Lepisosteus oculatus: one gene and its partner. The protein of the gene in region 1 purifies or fractionates together with the protein of each later gene. This does not show direct contact. Links are inferred from orthologs where the notes say so. Each region holds a gene or a part of one and is shown on either strand. Other genes may lie near its edges.

Region 1 (10,866 bases):
ACTCTGATCACCCCACCGGCGGTGCCCACTCACCTGGTGTTATGAGAGATGGAGGAATAACTGACTCACAACTAGGGATCAAACTAGTTTCAGAATTCTAGGAATAGGTTTTAAAAAAGCAAATCAGAATTACAACAGCTGGGAGGTCTAGCTCTCAGCCAGTGCTACAGCGCACAGCTCTGTGCTGGTAGAATCACCATCTTATTGGATGCAAAGACTTAAGAGTGACAATGTACAGACACCTACACACCTTTACACTTCCAGGCTGAAAAGGGAGCAGTATAGCCTGTGTCTGAATTGACTTTATCCACCAGAACATTTTAACTGCCTCTTGCTACAATGAATGAGTACTGAATAAAAAGTAAATGACTACACATAATATCACATGTATAGGCATGATTAGGATTCTGAATTTCCCAAGTTAAGAGTCCAACAACATACCTCTTGTATTGATACAGTTTAATACAGTTGAACAGATAATCAGTTCTCACTAAGTCTACACTAGACCCTAATTTGAGAAATTCCTCTGAGTTTATGGTGCTTATTATGACTGCCTGTAATTATTTAAACACTTGTGTACTTGTGGTTATTATTCATTAAAGACATATCCCTTCTGTGGAAAAGAACAGTCACTTGGTCAAAAGCCAGTGAGTAGAATATCTGGAATATATACAGAACATAGTCAAACCTAAATTGGAAAACTGAAGCACTAATAATTGAGTTAAACAAGCTTTGGAATAACAGTCTATCAGCATCACTTGTGAAATTGAAGAGAAAGTGCCTGGTGAAATCCAACGCAAAAAAACAGTTAATCTAAATGCAAGAGGTTTAGCATTTTTTTCCAACCAGAAAACTGCATTGGTAAAAGGTACATCATGTGATAAAAAAAGAACACCAAACATGTGTAACCCAACATATAATTGAGCAGCAAAAAAGACTTGTTTCAGACACTGGTACCTATAGATAGCACTATACTGTAGATCCTTTTAGATCAATCATGTTAAGGTGGCCTGATGCAGAATCCAGCTGAGACATGAAGAGCTCAGACAGTGCGAATAAACAAAAGCTCCAGCAGGACTGGAACCCGGCTGGTATGCAAGGAGAGAGAGAGAGAGACTCACAGAATTGGCCTGACAGAGGGCATGGGACAGAAGTTCGGGGTTCATCGAGGGGCTCTTGGTGACGTCCTGCTTCCGTTTGGGGACAAACTTGAACTCCTTGCTCTCCCTTTGCTTGATGCGCAGCCTCTGGCCCTCCATGCTGTGCTGGGGCTGAGACAGGGCTGCCTGCTGGCCCTGCTTGTCGCTGAACTCCACGATGGCATAGACACCCTGGGAGACACAGTTGGAGAGAAACAACAACCCACGTCCATACCTGGTCAGTCCCACACTCGACTCTCGGTTGTCCTAGAAACAGATTCTTCCCTCGGCCTTGCATTCCATGCCCTTTGCTTGGACATGAACTAACCCGTTACTAGACTTATGCTTTTTGCACATCTCTTGTTTTGTTCAGATGATACTCCTGCTTTCAGCAGATACCTGTAAAGGATATTTCTTTTGCCTGCATGACATCATTGTAATAACTTCTATTTAAACTGACATGTTAAGTGATGACTAGTTAGTTAATAATAATTCCTCACACTTTTATAGCGCTTTTTTTGGACACCCCACTCAAAGCACTCCCCTCCACCACCACCAATGTGCAGCCCCCACCTGGATGATGTGACGGCAGCCATAGAGCACCAGTACACTCCCCAGTACAGCCCTCAGTGGGGAGGAGAACAGAGCGATGAGGCCAGTTCAGAGATGGGGATTATTAGGAGGCCTTGACTGGCTAGGATGCCAGGGTAACACCCCTACTCTTTTCCAGAAACACCCTGGGATTTTGTCATGACCGCAGAGAGTCAGGATATTATATTTACAAAAACGCACCTTGTCCTTATCCATGATGACTTCGGACACGGGTCCGAAGCGTTGGAGATATTCCATGATCTGCTGCTGCGACGTCCCCTTTTGGAACCCGCTGACGAACACGCTGTTCTCCACCTGGGTCCGGCGAGTGTCCCGGACGGCGCACAGGTTCCGATGTTTACGGCCCTTCAGGTGGTCCTGAAGGCTTGTCCCTGCATAACCACACACGTTACACTCTAGATAAGCAGAAACGTGTGCAGATACAAACGAAACAGGAGCCTTGCGCCGAAACAAACACGGGCATGCATTTCAAACACACGGACGTGCATTAAAAAGGCTAAAGAAAGAGGAAAGCACGTACTGCCCAGTGTTACTGAAAACGCAGGACCAATACAGCCGCTTACTTTTATCATACACGGGCTGTGAGATTCCTTCGCAGCCATAAAACATTTTTTGAATCTATTCGCCTTAACAAAAATGAAATAAACTCTGTTTCTCAAACAATCATGCCACTGCTGTAAACTGCTCTGTAAGTAATGGTGCTGCGCAAACTTGACAAAACTTACTGTTTGGTACACTGACATCACACAAGTTGCAATGGAACCCTCCTTTCGGAACAGGCTGGATATCTGTATCTAACTCCATCTCGATCAAAAGCAAAATATAACAGAAATACGCTTAATCTCTTAACTAAATAAGGATTAAATTAAATCTCCCTCCCTTCCACGCACTCTCCCCTGCCTCATCCCTCCCATCATTTCGCCCCGGTATGGCAACAAAGATAGGAACTTTTAGTTCCGGAGGAACAAGAAGTCCACACGCGGAATTTGCAGAGTCCCACCGTACGAGGGAGACAAAGCTTTATAAAACCCAGCAATTCTCAGGAAATCTCACTGATGTTTTACATCTGCATGTTTTCCGTCTCACATGCACGGTGTATAACGAACAAAAAGCACTAACATATAAATACCACACAAAACAGTTTTATATACATATCACTGCGTCCTATCTGATCAGTTAAAGCTTTTTAAAAGAAAAAAAAACTCTACATTTTAAACAGCAATTTCAGGAGATCGCTAATGATAAAGAAATGTTTGCTCTTGTGTTTTTCTCCTTGTCTTGTACCATTAACATTTTATAAACATTATTGTTGTACAGAGGGGTGGCGGACTTTTTTTGTGTGATATCCAGGCACCAGCATCTCCGTGTAACGCAAACCACACTCTTTGTTTTCAAAGATACACCGGGAGGCGTCGTGGATCTGATACAAAATGGAAAAGAAAGCTCTTCGATTCCAAAGACAATTTCCTGTCATATAAGTAGTTGTGACTTTTTCTTCTTTGTGTGGGATCTATTTTTTCTCATTAAATGCTGCGAAGGGGGGAGATGGGGGGTTGACATTTAGATTTGGCTGTAGAAATCTGACTCACTTGTATGTGAGTCATCCCTCACTTACGAATATAGCGCCTCCTCCCTCTGTTTGAGTCGGAAGTGTCCGCCGATGCAGACAATTTAGCCTCGACCCCGAGCAGTAGGCTTCGTGCCAAAGCCAGACATTAGATAATCATGAAATATACCATTTTCATTTTTGACATATAACATTTTCATATCATTGCTTTCTGATAATCCTTTACTTCTAAAATCGATCAAACAAAAACATTTTGGGGGGGCTAAGTTAGACAAGGTGCAGAGTATTACGAACAGGCAGCAAAAAAACATTAAATACTGTACCAAGTAGGGACATTAAGTTTGAAAAAGCTGCTTTGTGGAAAAAAAGGAATGTGTAAATGTTGACACGCCATTTTCATCTTCCAGACAAAGTTGGAAAGCAATACAAATCAAGGAGAATCTCATTATATATGTTAAATTAAAATTAAGAGATATCATTGCTAAAATTGTCACTAAGTTACAAAAGAGAGAGCTATTTTACAGTGTTCTCAAGATGTGGGAAACTGAAAAAAGCTTCTCGTCCTTTTACCGAGGTTAGAGGATCGATGAGCTACGAACTACCAGACGTGTTAGATTTATGAATGGGCTCCTCTGGTTTCAGACCGTTCCTAACGCTGTAAAGTGGGTTTGGTGATTTGACTACTCTCAAGGACACTCGGGGTTAATAACTTCGTGATTTTTGTTAAAGTGGAGCACAGGCTGAGTTCACACCAGACACAATTAAGTTATAGGATTAAGATCAACAAAAACAAAAGAGTTTATTAGCAAAATATATAGTTCATTTTCCATCTCTCTTTGGACATAATTAAGACGGCAACACTTGCAGAAGTCTAGGTCATTTATCGTCTTGGGCTGCTACTCTTCTTTGTTTCAATACATAGAGCAGACGTCCGCAACGAGTCGAAGGAACGACAGATATCTTCATCTGCTTCCAAAGCACGAGAGCGCTACCGCCGGCATGAAAAGCGCCGCATCGCCATGGAGACGGGTCCTCATCCCTGACTCGCCGGCTGCTGTCCGGGAGCGCTGTGGGTGAGGGGACTGAGGCGGGGTCATTCATCTCGGCCAGCCTGCCACAGAGACTGGCATAGGAAAACCACGCTAATGGGTGAAAACCATTAGTATGTGCGAGAGAAACAATTTACGGGCATCGTGCAGGACGCTTTTTCGTCGAATGGAGCAGAGAGTGTCGAGACGCTTTTGCGTGCACAACAGGGTGAAATGCATTTTAATAATGGAAAAACTTTCCCCCCGCACTGACCTAACGCCCTGTTTTCTGCCACTATATCGAGTTAGAGGGTTGAATTGTAGCTACGCTCACGGAAGATGTTGAAGTGATCAGCGTGAAGGCGCTTTTGAGATAGTTTTCACCGCGAAACTTTGGGTTGCAGAATTGTGTAAGAAGACTGAATCTACTCCGGTGATCAGACTTATTATTTAAATAAACGGTTTTAGAAAGATTAATAATTTGATTTGTCTTAGCACATAATTCGTATCCCATATCCACGTCCTTTGATACTGCCAGAGGAAAAAAAATATTCATGTAATTGTCTTTTTTTTCAGTTATGTATCTACCTTAATGTTCTTTTCGATTTTCTCCTAAAAGGAGGCTTTGACGTCACAAAGCTGCCGTGACTCATTCTTTTGAAGAGCAGGGATGACGTCACCGCATCCCCGCAGGAGTATTGAGCTGTGTTGAATGAGGAAGCTGATGGAGAGCTTGTCAAGGCCCTTTTAACAGCCGCATGATGGGAACACGTGTTGCGTGTCTCTGTCCGCGCAGGCAAGGGCTCGCGGTGTTGCACAACGGTACTTAGAATGCCAGTCATGCTCCCGGCCCCGGGTAACCATGGCAACAAGCATCAAGCTGGAGAACGCATAGTGATGGCACCAATGCTTTCTCTCGGCCTCTGTCCTTTATCATTATGTCTCCATTCCCGAACTTATGTTCACAACTCCCTCCTTTCCCTCTCCCCCCCCAAACTTGTGTCGGCGGCGCGTCGTTTTCCGGCTCGGGATTCGTCGCCCGCTCCTCGGTACTTTTCATAATAAGAGAGCTCCGTGTCTCGAGGGGTCTCCGGGCCGCGGCTCGAGACTCTCAGTGAGACGTGAGACACAACGGGGGGACCGTCTGCACGGACAGGAGCTCGGCAGACTTTATAACTACAGGCGAGCATCTCAGCCACTTCGCTCCGATTGACATGACTAACAAATGCTGTCGTGGGCTTATGTCCAACCATGCAGCCGACAGAAACGCTCCAAAGTTTAGCAAGGTGGGAACCCTTTGACCTGGACCGGCCTGTGACTCGTGGCCGGGAGCATTGGAGTAGATTTAATTGCATGACTCTGAAAGTAGTCCATCCCTGACCTCGAATCACAGCATATCCCCACACAGATCCTCGGGTACTGGCGTGAACTCGCACAACTTCTAAGCACAAGGTCTAAAGCTCGGAAAAAAACTCAAACTACTGCAACCGGGCTCATCATGTTTCTACTGTTCTAACAAGTGCGGATGAGGCTAATGTCAGCGGGAAACGCTGAAAAAGAGATAGTGGATCGTGCCCGTTGTAAATCAGAAACACTGCGAGAACATATATTTAGCGCGCCTTGTGACGCATAAAATATGCTCACTCATTTCCACCCAAAACCCATTTCCATTTCCACAAAAAAAAGAGAACGTGCATCTGGTAAACGACAGACAACTGCCTTCAATGCAGCGCTACAATCGTGGAAATATATATTTTACTAGACGAGCATGAATCGGTGGTAACGTTCTCTCCGAACTTCAAAAGCCGCAGAGGTCTGCATCCGCGCCTGTGCCGAAACGCCGTGTCAACAGCGCAACATTTCGCTGTGTCAGACGTTGACTGGGGAGACAGACCACACGTCAGGAGCGCCAGTCGACGCGAGGTCTGCCACCATACTCAGGTGTGGGTTATCTTCCCACTGTAGGTTATTCAGTGGTTGCAGAGTCTATTTTTAGCACGCGGCCGGGGGGGGGGGGGGTCACGTGACGGGGGAGTGACGTCACGAATGTTGTTGTTGGTGGAGGAGCTGCCAATATGGAGGAAAGAGAGCTGTGACGGGAAAAAAAATACACATACATTTCTTTTTTTTTTTACCCCCCCAAAAAATACACACCAGCTAGCGCATCCGCCGTCGAAGATCCGGACATCTCCTACAGAAAGGCAAACGGGATATCTCCTTGATCATCAGGTAAAGATAGTTTGTTTACTGACACTCATTTTTTTCGGACCGTTCTTTTCAATTGCGAGTACTCGTAACTAAGCGGGTCGGTGCTACAAAAAAATGCATTTATTCAAGAAATGTATCATTTAAGCTTTCACGGCCGCAGCGAGACCACGGTTTGTGAGTATTAACAAGCATTCGGGGGGGGGGGGGACGCGTTTTCCCAGGTGCTGCCGACAGCGATATACACGGATAAAGATAACGATTTGTTACAAAAACAGCGGTCATTTCCTTCTCCAGAATTAGTGCAATTTTTTAAAAGAATTGTGGTAGTGCGCTAAATACGACGCGGTGGGCAGTGCGGTGGTCATTTCTTCGAATGCCGAGTGACTCGTATTTGTATCGGCGGCGATGGCAAAAAGTTGAAGAAATATTCGACCGAGACCCTCGAAAGTCTAAGCAAGGAAATGAATTGACTGTAAATATGTTTTTTTTTTAAGAACTAGTGAGAAAGGTGGACCAAATAAGTCCACCAGATAAGTGAGCAAGTTGCTGTGAGACCGGGCTGTGGTTAAAGATGTTGAGATGATGTTTGTCATGGGTACATAAATCCGAGTTCTCTGTGCAGTGTCTTCATCGAAGTGTTAACACTTTTTCCAGTTGCTGGGTGTTAGAGAAACGACCAGAAACCGGTGGATGCAAATAATATTTCTGCCTTCCTTGTCTCGTTCCTGCAGAACGAGCATGTTATCCGCATGATATGTGGATTTTTTTTTATTTTCAAGTGTCAGTATCTGTTTGTCTCAGTTGTTGCGGTAATTTTTAGATCTCTGGATTGCCAGACGTGACCGGGGGGGTCGTGCATGCGTTAGGAGCTCAGAGCCAGCTCGCAGAAGATGAATTGAGGGGGTTAGCCATATTCATCCATTCTGGGAAAACAGAACATGTAAACTCCACACGCAAGGATCCGAAGTCCAGACTCAAACCCAAGATCTAAAGACCACCTACACCTGCAAGATGCCCACTCCCGGCAGTTTTTAAGCATCATCTATTAAAATCATTTACGACACTCCTGTATGCAAAAACACAGCAAAATATATGTTTATGTAGAGGTCACTGAAACAAATCCGCTTCAAGGAAATGTATCTATCTCTTTTGAAATTTGAATCTCCGAGGTTTTTTTTTAAGCACCGATTTTCTGACCAAGGTCTCACAAAGACTTCTGCACTTGAGAACGAGGGGAGTACAAAGCCAGTGTCATTTAGAAGAATCTGTTCTGGGCAGTATGAAAGCAGGATGGTGGTGGACACGCTGTGCTGCTGTTTTCTTTAAACTGACAGGGGAATATTTTGGAAGATATGGCGTCGCAGAAGTTCGTTACCTCTAGTGTGCCTGGTTTGTGTTTTCTGGACACTCAGCAAATCCTGCATAAACACAGGTCTCAGGCAAGCTCGGTATCATTGTAACTGTGAATTTCAGAGGCACCAAAAAAATAGCCACTTGTGTATTTACAGCCGTGTATTTTTGTATTTATTCACATATTAACTCAGTCACTGATTCAAAATGAAGGAGTCCTAAATGAAACAGACGATCAGCTACATCCAGTGTTTAAAATAGCCCTTGAGATTTGTGGGAGAGTGCAGATTTGCTTAGGAGCACCTAGAACAATCTCTTACTGTATATTCTGCTTCCGACAGAACAATAAATTGTCATCTCCACTGAAAATGCCTTTTATTGACCTCCAGAATTTTTAAAACTGACATGCTGTGTGTTTGGAATTGAGAAGTGTACCTGCTGTAGTGTTAGCTATGACCTTAAATAATATTATACCTCTGTACAGAATGAGCCTAGTTGTGTCTGTGTTCCTGCTTTCCATGTCCATGTTGACACAGGATGGTTCTGTTAGTTTCATAGTAACATTTCATTCTGCTCAAAAGATGCTGCTCAAAAAAAGGAAGAAGAATTTCTATTTGAGCGCAAAGGACTCTGTAAGAGGTCAGTCTAGGATTCTGCTCTGAGATCAGTTTTTTTGCCTCCTGTCCTTTGGAAGCTGCTGTGCCTCTTCCTGCTTTATTCAGAAAATAAAGAAAAGAGATTTCAAATCCTGGTAATCCAATTGGTGTTTTATTGGATTTGCAGTTGTGTTACACTACAGATGGAAAGAAGTCAGGCATTCGCAAGGCAGAGGTTAAATTACTTTATAGCATGTTTTTGATTATTTTTTTCGGATGCCCGTCATCTGCAGGGAGCGAAACACACTGTGCTACGTGATTATTTGTCTGCATAGATCTTTTTATTCTGCCTCTCCTGCGATTACTTGGTAACTTGATTTTAAGCACGTGTCCTGTGTTGTGTTGACTGCTATTGTACTGATATTTTTCAGCAGTATAATCTCCCAGGATCCCTCTGTAAACAGGACCTGCGTCTCAGTGGGTTAACCTTCCTAGTTCAAAACATAGATCAGCACAGGTCTCTCTCACTGGCGCTGGTGTGAGACTGGTGCGTACAGAGATGAAAAAACACTCGCATAGCTGGGGAGAGACGTTCCTGGTTTAACAAGTTGCACGCTCTTGTATATAACCCTGTAACTGTTCGTGTTTCATGATGATCATATTTTGAGCATATTATTCTAGGTAGAAATGGATTTCACATTGTTTATCTACATTGTCAATGCACTTGTGCACAAGCCAGCCACTTCTAGAAACCTGAAATTTCTGTGTATGTGGATCACGGTGCTATGCAGTGGGAGCCTTAATTTCATCTCTGCAGGTACTGTAGGCTCTATCTCGGGTTTTTGTGTACACAAGAGAGCAATAAAAATGTTGTATTCTTGTCAGTGTTTATGTCCACTCTGCAATCAGATCTCTCTGCTCCACGGTACAGAATACACCGCAGACAGATGCACTGATCAGATGCTCTGACGTCTGTATATGTGTGACTTAAAAGTCAAAGGCTGCAGAAGTTAATATGCTGATCGGCCTTGAGATCACGCATTTATGTTTTCTCCTGCTTAGAAAACAAATTGGGCAGTTGTCTAGTAACCACACTATCGCTGGAGAAGACAGCTGCTGGAACATCTCAGGGTGAAACAGCAGTTGATTCAGTGGCTTGCATTTGCAAAGGCATCTGAAAATGTTTAAACTGAATAATGAAATTAGCCATTTTCTTTGTAAATGGCAGGATGGCCTTGTAGTTCTAAGATAGCACAGGCATGTCAAATCCATTGATATATTTGTGTGTGGATTCTCAATGGGAAGGCACAGTGGTACAGTGTTCAGTTCCAGACCTGGGGTGCTATCCGTGTGGAGTTTGTATGTTTTCCCCATGTTTGTGTGGGTTTCCTCCCACAGTCCAAAGACATGCGGGTAGGTTAACTGACTTCTGGGAAAATCGACCCTGATGTGAGTGTGTGTGTGTCTGTGTGCCCTGTGATGGACTGCCATCCAGTCTAGGGTGTACCCTGCCTTGTGCACGTTGCTTGCCTGGATGATCGGATTCACAGTGTAAATGTCTTTTGGCTGTTGGTGGTGATGTCTTTCTGTATATTTTTGTGAAGCACTGCTTATTGCAAAAGGCCAATTGTATTTTAAGTTAGAAAGGAATATCTACTAATACAGACCCATCCCTTTAAACGGAGGGGCATGATCGCATATCAGGACCTGTTGTTTTTATTTAGTAATTAGAATCAATTCACTTCGTTTTTAAAGCATGGCTGGCAGTCTAACATTGTGGTCGGAGTAGAATGGTGTCTTTTTTTTTTGTTTTGGAAGCAAGGCTGCTGTTTCGAGCTGTTCGATGCCCCGCAGATTAAGGAGTAGCTAAACAGCGCAGACTCCCAGCCATCTCACTTGATTTCATTTTGGCAGAGACGCAGCACAGCCCGCTGTGGCTCCCAGTCATGTTTGGAGGCTTTGCGAGGGGAAACTCTCTCGATGAGGCCCAGTGGGGTGGCTGGGAAGAACGGACCAAGTGATGAGTGCAGAACCTTCAACCATCTTGGGACAGCCTGTCTGGAGCAGCACGCAGAACACAGCAGGCTGTGTGTGTGCTTGCATGCCTGTTGTTCTTTAGAAGAAATGCGAAGGGAGCTCAGACATCTTTCTCTCCCAGCTGGTGTGAAGCCCCGCGGCGAGGTTGAAGGGAAAGCCTCTGGGGGGCTAGTGGCTTGCAGGGTGCTTGCGTCCTGCCCAGCTAGAAAGCAGCGTGCAGCGAGTTGTCTGTCTGCAGAGGCCCGGGCAGTGGGGCGGCACGGTGCTGCCATTTGGCGGCCTGGCCGCGCCAGTCTCCCAGATTTGGAGTTCGGCCGGGAAAGGAGTAA
Region 2 (10,749 bases), on another chromosome or scaffold:
GACACACAGCTTTTTAGTCGTACATACTGTGTCCTGCAGGTGAGATAGTCTATAATCCAGGACACCAGGGGAGTGTCCACCTGTGCCGGCATTTGCTTATCTCTCAGCAATGGGGGATGGATGGTGTTAAAGGCACTGGAGAAGTCAAAGAACATAACTCTCACAGTGCTCCCTGTCTTCTCCAGGTGAGAGTTAGCTCTATGTAGCAGATAGATGACTGCATCCTCCACTCCCAAGTGTGACCTGTAGGCAGGGGGTCCAGTGCTGTACTCACCTTAGTACAGCATAGTGCTATATTGGCTATATTAGATGAGTTTGCCAGAACTGCCCTTTAATGTCAGCCTTCTGAACGCTTAGTTCCTACCACCACGCTCACATCAGAGCTATGCCATTACGGAACCAAATTAGATCCTAGGAGTCTTCCAGACAAAAAAAGACCATGGATTAACACGTTGCTCAATTGAACTGAATAAACCACAAACCTTCAGACAAAGCTGCTCTGTTACCTCTAAAACTTCCTCCAGTATATTTTCATATTTGGTGAACTATCTCTAAAAAGGATCTGACCCCCCAACAATATTACAATGCACACGGAAGGAGACAATTCAAACACAACATTTGAACATCTCCCATAGATAACGTGACAATGACCCTGTATATTTACATACAGGAACGACTTTATGGACAGCTCTTTTCTAATGGTTATGGTATTTATCAAATTATGTTTCATGAACAATCTGCTGTACAGAAGTTCCTGCAATACACATGGTATCATGCTGAGAGTCTCCTTGCATTTAAATGCATATTTTACTTGCAAAGGTAAATGGAAGAGCCAGGATCTAGCTTTTAATTTGGAATTATGATGTTTCTTCACGTTTAACAAGAAACAACACCAAAAATGCTAACTTTTATTAACTCTATGCTTTTAACCCTTTAATATCTAATACTAATAACACCTCTGTTGAGAAACAAAATCACTTGCTATTCTTAATTAAATAAAACATACAGAAACAGTCAGTTTGTGACAATAACTGACACATGCTAAAGTTACTATTAAACAAACACACAAACACCGAATATTTACTCTGTAAAGTGTAAGCTGCATGCAAAGTGTCACGTAGGCACATGGCAGAGGTGAATAATTTTCACATTTTGACTTGACATTTGAACTGTGAAAATGCTGAGCTGGAATTGGAAATGAAAAGAGACGATGGATATGTTTTTCAACAATTCCCCATTTCCATCTGATTTCAGGGGTTTTGTATTTTAAAATATATATATATATTACACTATTGCACCAATTGATCATTTAAGGCATCACATAAATAAACTGCAAGACATATTATTCTGTATTACACCACTTTAAAAGTGTCAATGCTTTGGATCATATACAGTACAAACATACAGTATAGTACCACATTTGACTGAATATCTGCTTCCATTATAGATATTTTTACTTTTAGGTTTTATACTCTTTTAGTTTTTCTGGTGATGTTTCAAACTGTTTTTAACACTCCTCTGCCCTCGAAACTTGAATCCGATCACCAGACTCATAAGCATGTCTAATGAGGAAACCAGTTACAGCTCCCTCTGCAAAATGGGTCAAGTGGTCAGGAAGGTAATTATTATTATACAAAAACATTATCCAATTGATTAAATAATTAATTGTATTTCTAAACGGGTTTTCATCCCCTTGATCCCAAAATTGCTTTATATAGAGGTGTGGCCTCACTTCATCCACCATTGAATACAGGTACGCCCCTGGCCGGTACTGAATGTACTGGCAGGCCTGCTACAGTACTACTGGCTTGGATGGTAGGCTGGTCCACCAGAAGCCATGCACATCAGAGATTTATTTCTAATCAAGACACACACAACCTCTAGACAATCGATAATAAAGAATGTGGGTTTTTTTACAGCTACGAACGCTGCCACCGCACACGGGAAAGACTGAGGAGGTGCTGTAGTGGACAGACTCCTCCATCCTGCCCACCTTCGAGCCGCTCATTGAGAACCACATCACAGGGAGCACAGCAGGCTGAGAACTGATTGGAAAGGCACATCCCACGCCCAAGGCACTGCCAGCCTGCAAGCCACGAGGGTTGCTGTGACACTGGTCGAGAAGTACCAGCTGGTTCTCGGCAGCCCTCAGAAGATGGTTGCCGCTGTTTGAGGAGTCCCAATGAGGCTGGCATTACAGCCACCTGGTGATGTCACCAGGCTCTCTCTCACCTGGATCACAGAGCTCAGCCTGTCTTGATGGACCCCCTGTCTTGTGCTTTACCCTGGGAGAGGTGGGGCTAAAGAAAGTGCTTCTCTAGAATGGTGGATATTAACAAAGTATAAGGATGAAATAAAATGCTAAATAAATAACAAAAAATATAAATCTCATGACCATGAAGTAATGAACCTGGTTGGTTGTATTTTCTAAACCTTTTAATTATATACGTCAAAAATCCTTCTCTTCAATGGTGTGAGTTTGTATGTACACTGTATATACAGAAATTCAAATATAATGGGTCTCAGGGGTTGTCCTTCAGATGATGACTGTAATCAAGAGAAAAAGCTATACTTGCATTGCTGTTACAGAATAGCTCATCTCAGGAGGCTCTCCTAGTGGAAATTTAACTGGGCCTAGCACAGTAATTCATTATTTAATCAGAAGGTTTTCAGTGCCGAAGTGTAATTCCTAGGGATAAACAGTATTTGTCTTAATCACCGCAGGGGAATTTTTTGATGAAACTGGGAATCTTGTGGTGTTCCTCTATGAATTTATTGAATAGATTCTCAGGTCTATTAAAAAAAAAAACAACTGAAAAACTTAAGTTAGTTTATTTTGCCAGCTCATACAATTAGCATAAGTTAAATGACTCGGTCACAGTAGTACTGTGCTGCCGAGGTTTGTGTCTGACAAGGTCATACAGAGAGTGTGTAGGCGGACAGGGACCTGAATGGCTAAGGAGTTTGAATAAGAGACCATCGCTTATGGTTACATCCAAGGATTGTTATTTGTAAGAGTTGCCCTGCAGCTCTGTAATGCTGTTTTTCTGCTTCATTTCCTTTTGGCTGGGTGATATGTCTGCATTTATTGAGCAGTTCATCTGGAAGCATAGGAGGCAGGAAACGCCGCCTGTGCGCGCGCGCACACACACACACACGCACACACCAAATAAAAGCTGCTAAACGAATTGAAAAGATTTGTAATAGTACACTCTCTCCTGCTATTGTAGGGGCCCTGCACACAATAACCCAAGTAATTTGCTATCCATGTCTTTGGCCTACTTAAGGATGGCAGAATGGTATCCTAGCAATTAAACAGCATTTTCTTTTTAGACATTTCACCAAGCCCCCCATTTCAATCTCGTCAGAGTGAAAAGATGCGTGCACCATTCATCCTGCCTTTCAGGAGCTTTTCTGTGAGAAAGCGCTAACAAGAACAGAATGAACTGGCTTGTCAGATTTTCCCTGTGGCAGCACTTCGAGGATATTTTCTGGGAGTGAAACTATTAATGACTACATCTGTTCATGGAGTACAAGCAGCATGTATCTTTACTAGGACCGGTGTTTCTAGATGTATTTTGGGAAAGCAAAACACACGCAGAAGCAACCCCAAAGCCTACCTTTCAAAAACACACACACACAAAAGAAAAATCAAGGGGGAATTCCCTTTAAAATATAAACTGTGTTATACATGTGGTCTTTAGCACTCTACAGCTTTCGACAATGGCTTATTAACAGTGAAGAAAAAAAGTTGGCACATGGGTCAGGCCTACATTTCGAACAATACGAGAAAATGTTTTGAAATTATGCCACACTGACATGGGTGTCTGAATACACATAAAGCCGTGAACCGGCTATCTAAAACGTTAGGCCACCGACAACCCCAACATCCTCCACATGGTTACTGTCTGTGGGGTTATGATGGACCTGCAGATCTTGAACTGCCCTTTTATCTCAGTTCAGATCATTGTGATGGAATATTAAAAACTCCAGAGGGGTAAAGGCAGTGGGATGTCACATTAAAACAAAGAGTCATGACATACTGTCCTGTAAGTGCCTGAAGGCCAGTGGGAAAACTGGAGAGTTGCAATATAATTAAGGTGGTGTTCATCTGACACTTGCCACTCTTTACAAACATACAGCGCTTTCGATAACAGCTTTAAGAGATGGGAATGACAGTTGAAATCAAGAATCTGAAATTACCAGGGAAGATGTTGTTTCTGATATGGGCTTGCTGTTGTTTTTTCACAGAGACAAACTCAGGGTAAGGACAGGGGTATGGAAGTAGAGCACACCACTCCAATCAGTGCTGCAATTCTTCATCTACTACAGTAAGAAGCAAAGGTTTCTGAACTGTGGTCCCAGTTGTGTTATTTCACAAATTAAATTTTGACACTATCCTAGACAACACAAAGGATTCTTTATAAACGTGCGTTAATATACAGTATATATTGTGTACACTAAAGAGTAAAAGTACATAATTCATTGTAACAAACAGTATAAACATATTGTAAATACAGAGTAAACACGAGTAAAACTAACATAATTTGTGTTTTCAGGAAAACGAACCAGCAAAGAGCGCGCTATAATATTTATATTTTTCGGTTAGGAGATACTTTGAAACTCAGTATTTCAGATTTAGGAGACACGATCAATTGTACTCATGCATACTCATGAGATGCAAGCTACTCCAATTATTAGCAATTTTCCGAGTTTTACTGGGATTATTTTTCTGCTCAGACGGTGAAACAAACAAACAAACAAACAAAAAACAAACAGGCAAACAAACATGAAACCGACGTGTTGCTTGTGCTTAATGATTTACTCCCTTGGTAATAATTTATCAAATGAAAGCTGTTCATCAATTAAAACTCGCGATCAAAGTGGTTATGCAATTGTACTAATAACAAAGATAATGGAGAAGCCGCAGCATTTAAACGTGCGAAATTAAGCTAAGCTAATCAAGAACAAATAATTTCGTATTCAAATACTCTCTTTGTTGTTTATTTTCTTCAGAAAAGGTTTTGTAATTCTTATTGAAACGTTTAAAATGGTAATCAGGTTCTTGCAAATAAGTACTTCCCATAAAAAAAAATTTCGACGTGTTCCTCCAACAAAGATGTACAAGTGGACTCCAATTAAATAATAACACTACAGAAAGCACCTACAGCATATTGAACGTATTTATAGGAGGTTGGGGGGGGACTTTTAAGACCAATCTTGAAGTATTATAGGGTCACACGCTGATGTTTCTGGAATATGGGAAGAGATACTTTGGCTAATATAAATAATCTAATCATAAAAGTAAGGAAATGTTAATGATTGTTTCCCTAAGGTCAATCGCAGGACTACCAGGACCCATATCTATCACTGTATTATGGAACAACACTGTTTACTTTCACTTTGTGTCGAAATGATTACAATCTGATACAAAACTGGCTTTAACGCGGAATATCGGATTGTTATTTTTCTTCGCCTTCACTGAAAATACAATACAGAAATAAAATCGTGACTCTTGAATGACGTATTTTCTAAGAACACAGCCCGTTTCATTAGCTTAGTAAATATCGGGTTGTTATACAGTATTTGCGACAGGTGAGAAAGAACGATTTCCTCTGATAGACATAAGGTTTAATCAGTTGTATCCACACTTAATGCTTTCAACGCAATGTTCTGTATCTACTGTTTTCTGTCTTGTTGAACAACGAAATCTCTATGGTGCAAATCTTAACGGTTAAATGGCATCTTTTCAGCTTATTGTTTTACACTATCTTGTACATTCTAAGGAGTATTCCAGACTCAAAAAATACTCCTAAATGCAGCTATCCCTTCATGAGAACACGTTTAATTTGTAAACTTTTAAATTGTTTATTTAAAACAAACAAATACATAAAAAATACGTCTATTTAAACGTAAAAAAAAGGAGCGTTATGACTTAATTTCCCCAGGAAAACCGTCTTCTCGGGCATAAAAAAAATTAAACACTGATGAACTTTCTTTCCCCCCACCTTCAGTATAGTAGGTTGTGCCCCGGTGGATATACAGTATAAAACTTGTAATTATCCCTGTAGCGCAGGGAGTGAAACAACGCGCACTGACCGAAACTGGAGTGACAGCAGTGATGTGTGAAGAAGCGGCGCTTGAAACCCACCCGAATATTCGTGGCTGTAGTGACTACAAACATAACCCACGGTTCATTAGCACGGGGCAATAGTGAGGAGGCGGGCTCTGATCAGATCTGAACATTTCAACAGATCTGCCGACTAGCGGCTTCATCTTCGCCTTTCACTCTTCAAACAACTGACCGCTTTTCAGTACCTCTCACCGCTTCCCCGACTGCATCCTCTGTCGCGTTTTCCTCGCCATTTTCCTCCCCGGATAGGGAGAGGATTGAAAGTTTATCATCACTGTTGTAGTACCCCTATTTTTTTGTGTGTCTGTGTGGTGTGTGGGGGGAAAAAACAAGAACAAGAACAACAACAACAACAACAACAACAACAAAACAAAAGGCGAGCAAACATTTGAAAAGTTTTGACATTTAATTTTTTTTTTTTTAAGTTTCCCAGTTTCTAGTTTTTATCCTGTCGGACATCGGGTTGATTCTCATGAGTGTGCCTCCGGTGATTCGGCCGCCGAGCCCTCTCCCGGGGTCGCCAGGCATCTCTTTCCAAATTCAGATCGGGCTGAGCCGCGAATCGGTCCTGCTGGACTCCGGCGACTTCACCCTGTCGCACGTCAGGGAAATGGCATGCTCCATCGTCGACCAGAAGGTAAAACAAGACGTCGAGTTCCTTCTCTTCTTCCTCACTGAATGCCTGTTTTGTTTTGGTACTCGATGAGCAGTGGGGGAAAAAAAAAAAAAACACTGTCACACCGAGGAGTAAACTTGTGCCTAAACTTTTGTTTTCTCTTTTTTTCCCCCCCTGCATGTGTGAAAATTAACTGTTGCGCTGCTGGAGTGTGCTCTGGCTTAGGCGCCGTTCCCTTAGCGTGGAGGAGCTCAGTGACAGCTGCCGACACTCTGTTTGAATCATTGCGAAAAGATTGTGCCTGTTCTTCACACTATTTCGCATACTCACCGCAATGACACAATCGAGTTTATGTCGTTTTCTGGTTGCTTTTCTAACTACTTTTAAAATGTCTTTAAATAAAGACGCATGATTGAAGTTTATAGTTCCTATGGAACTGCTAATTCATTGCTTGGGAAGTGTGTGGGGGCAGCCCATTGATTTTCTTCCACGATCAATACATTAATTTTGTGGTAGAATGAATCAAGGCAAAAAGGGTTTTTTGTTGTTTTTTTGCACAACCCTGTACATGTATATACACACCAGCACATATTGCAGTTTTTCAGGCTGATTGATATGCCTGTGCTACAAAGCAGTACATTTTGAACTATTTTATATATCGTAAACAAAGGTCTTGAAGTATGTTAGTAAAATGGAAGCTGGGAGGTAAACAGTATTTGATATTGTCAAGGCAAACTGCCCTGTAAACAGATTCTAACAGCTACAACAGGCTGGATTGATCAACTTCATGGGGCTGAACTGCATGGTTTTCTCACTAGATGAGAAAAAGATACAAAGATGAGAAAAAAAGCATGATTTTCTTCACTGGATAATTAAACCTTTTATGCCAAACATGTAATAGCCAAAAGCACTGTTCATGTTTTTTGTAAATATTTAAATTGGAAGCCATTACTATTGCAGTTTTACACCAGTAGATATGATTCTAGGCTATCAATGCAAAAAACATACAAATGTGCATTGCATTTGCAGTTCCAGTTCCAGATGTGTTTCTGCTGCCAAATGCATTCTAGTAAACCAATATTACTGTCCTGGAACTGAAAAAGAAAATATCATTCTTTATCCAGATACATTTTGGAAGTATATTTTTGTCTTCGCATCCAGGATTGTTCCTGTCTGTCGCAGAGAGACACATGAGTAGTTAGTTACATTACCCCTGGCAACAGGGAGAACAACAGCCTGATCTGTAGAGGAACATAGGAAACTTATTTGTTTTCTGTAAACTTTTCAAATGGAGTTACTCTATTGTTTGTGGAAAATATTTCTTAAATGTTTGTAACTTCATTAAGCCTTCCTATCTGATGCCTCTATATGTTTTCTGCCATTAAAGGCAGGAAAAATACATTTTTAAAGCGACACACAATGTGTTTTTTCTTATTCAGATGCATTAATAAGATATTATCTCTGCATTTTGGGTTTCTAGCACTTTCTAAGTGATAGAAAGTTTCAGAGGTATTAGAGGGTATCCCTACAGCTGAATCCCTTTTTAAATTATTGTAACAAAACTTTGAACATGAGCTGTTTTCTGATTTTTTACAAGGTAAAATAATTATCATCAGCTAGAGAAAAGTAGTTCCGTTCAAAATCAACATGCTGGTTAAGCTCTGGTTCATTAATCTTTTCCAAGTCAAATAAAGTGTACGTAGAGAATAGAGAAGTCTGCTTAGTTCAGAAGTTTCTGAAGCACACTGATTAGTTCTTTTTAAATGAAGCGTAAAAAACATGAAAATACATATGTAAATAACAGTGGGTATCCTTTTATTAGTTAGAAATAAATCACAATATACTATGACAAATAAAATAATTTGCATTCAATTTAGTATTACCAATGAACAAAAGAGCAAAGAAAGGTTACAGATGATGTAGGGGCATTCTGCCTGCCTTGCTTGTTTGCTTCCTAGTAACTTAAAGATCTGAGATTTCTCTTAGTTTCAGCTACATCCTGGAAGTCAGTTCCAGACTCCCTCAGCTGTCTGCATTAAGAAGTATCTCCTGTTTTTGGTTTTAAATCTCCTTAAATTCAATTTTCACTTGTCTGCCTGGGTGCTTGTGTTACTGCTAATCTGAACAGGGTCCCCTGAGTTGACTTGGTCTATGTGTTCCAGGATTTTGAAAACTGGAATCAAGTCCCCATGCAATTTCTTATGCTTTAGAGTGAAAAGACTATCCCTTTTTCTCTGTCTGAAATTCCCTTCAGATCCGGAAAAAAACTGGTTTCTGTAGAGAGCAATATCTTTCTTGTAGTGTTATGACCAAAACTGGACACACTTATCCAATTGAGGCCTAATCAATTCATTGTACAATTTTAATACAACTTCCCTTGATTTAAAATCTAAACCATTTACAATCTAATCAAGCTCCGTGTTGTTCTGTTTTTGTATTATCTGTGAAATGGGCAGATTTACTCACTGTACCAGAGTCTAGATTATGGGTACAGATTAGGAGGAGTATCTGTCCAAGAACTGATCCTTGTGCTGCCTCACTCCAGATAGAAGTACAGTACCTTCTCTTTACAGTACTTTTTGTTTTCAGTTCTTAACTTAACTATTTATGTCCATGTGTAATCATTATTCCCAATTCCTGCAGCCTTATGGTAGATAGGTATTTCACATTGTACTTTATCGCAAGGTTTTTGAAAGTAAACATTATGATGTTATATTCACTGTGCTAGTTTTGTTGAAGAAATCAAATAGCTTATTTAGGCAAGATATGCTTCTTCTAAATTATTGATGATTATTTCTTCAAATTTCTAAATAATCTCCACCTTGTAATTCCAGGCACGGGCTGGCTGTCTTCCTGAACTGTTGTAAACCAGTTGTTCCTTTTAAGTTTTTGCCAATATATTCTCCTGATTTCGTATTCTATAGCTGCTCATTTGACAGGTTAACTATGACACCAACATGGAAATACCAAACATGAATTGAAATTGCTCACAGTTTTTTCCGTACAAAATGTTGAAACAGTTAGAAAATCGTCCTGTTTAATATCAACAACATCAGGAATGCCAGTAGCCTGAATGACCTTCATGCAGGACTGGAAAGTTCTAAGCTTTTGCTCAGTATTTTACAACTAGTTCCATTTACAGAAATATTCTAAATCATTAAGCACCGCAGTACTGTATATAAACTTTCTGTGCACTGTGTTGTAAGCCAAATAATACAGAACTATAAATACAGTACTGACACTTGCATTTTTTACAAGAATATCTAGCTGTTGAAGCAAATCTATTTAAAAAAAAGCATTTATAGCAGTATTAGTATCCTAACATTAACCATTTTAAGGAGATCAACAAAGTCCTGAAGGTGAACGCAGTACTGAACAATGCATACGTGTGTAGTGTGGTATGGTGTATGATAATAAGTAGTAATAATTAAATAATATTAATAATAGGCATCAACTACTAAGGAATGACCAACAGTTTGGAAAGAGATCCTTACTCTGCCAAAACTGGCCAGACAGAAATCTTTGCTTCACAATGGATATGAGAAAAAGAAAGAATTAGTTCACACGTGACTTTTCCCTGTGAACATGGTGGTTGTTTTACCAGATTGTAGAACATGAAGAAACTATGCCCATCTGTACAAAACCTGTCAGTCCATAATTGTTGGAGATTCTTGTTTTTTTTTACATGCACACAATTCCAGAGTGGAGTCAATGGAGTAAAAATGTAAAGTTGCTTGCTGAGTGCAATTTTGAGAAATTGTGCTGTACCGCATTCATTAAGTGTAGAAACACTGTCAGTTATTTTCACCTTAAAAGGCGTTTTTGAATGAATTCTTGTGGACCAGCAATGAGGCTGTCAGTTTCCATTCAGTTGTACTTCTTTCATTCAGTTCTTATTTTTTTCCATACTGTTAGATGTAATCAAAGTTAGGTTGACTGGTTTATAATTTTCTAGCTCAGTTTGGTTCCCTTTTGTTAACAATGGGTATTACATTGGAGT

The links.
Region 2: the proteins of hdac5 (region 1) and prkd1 purify together in Homo sapiens (affinity purification with western blotting; 4 studies listed by BioGRID, with this or other methods). This does not show direct contact. The link is inferred for Lepisosteus oculatus from reciprocal best matches to the Homo sapiens genes HDAC5 and PRKD1.

What each region holds. Positions count from the first base shown.
Region 1 is NC_090723.1:7,409,460-7,420,325, reverse strand, and holds the start of hdac5 (histone deacetylase 5), read left to right. Parts: upstream 1-6,376; 5' UTR 6,377-6,392; coding exon 6,393-6,575; intron 6,576-10,866. Other genes in the region: tut1 (speckle targeted PIP5K1A-regulated poly(A) polymerase), read right to left, coding at 1,122-1,331, 1,932-2,122, 2,477-2,555. UniProt on the Homo sapiens protein: Responsible for the deacetylation of lysine residues on the N-terminal part of the core histones (H2A, H2B, H3 and H4).
Region 2 is NC_090703.1:5,747,089-5,757,837, forward strand, and holds the start of prkd1 (serine/threonine-protein kinase D1), read left to right. Parts: upstream 1-6,098; 5' UTR 6,099-6,605; coding exon 6,606-6,770; intron 6,771-10,749.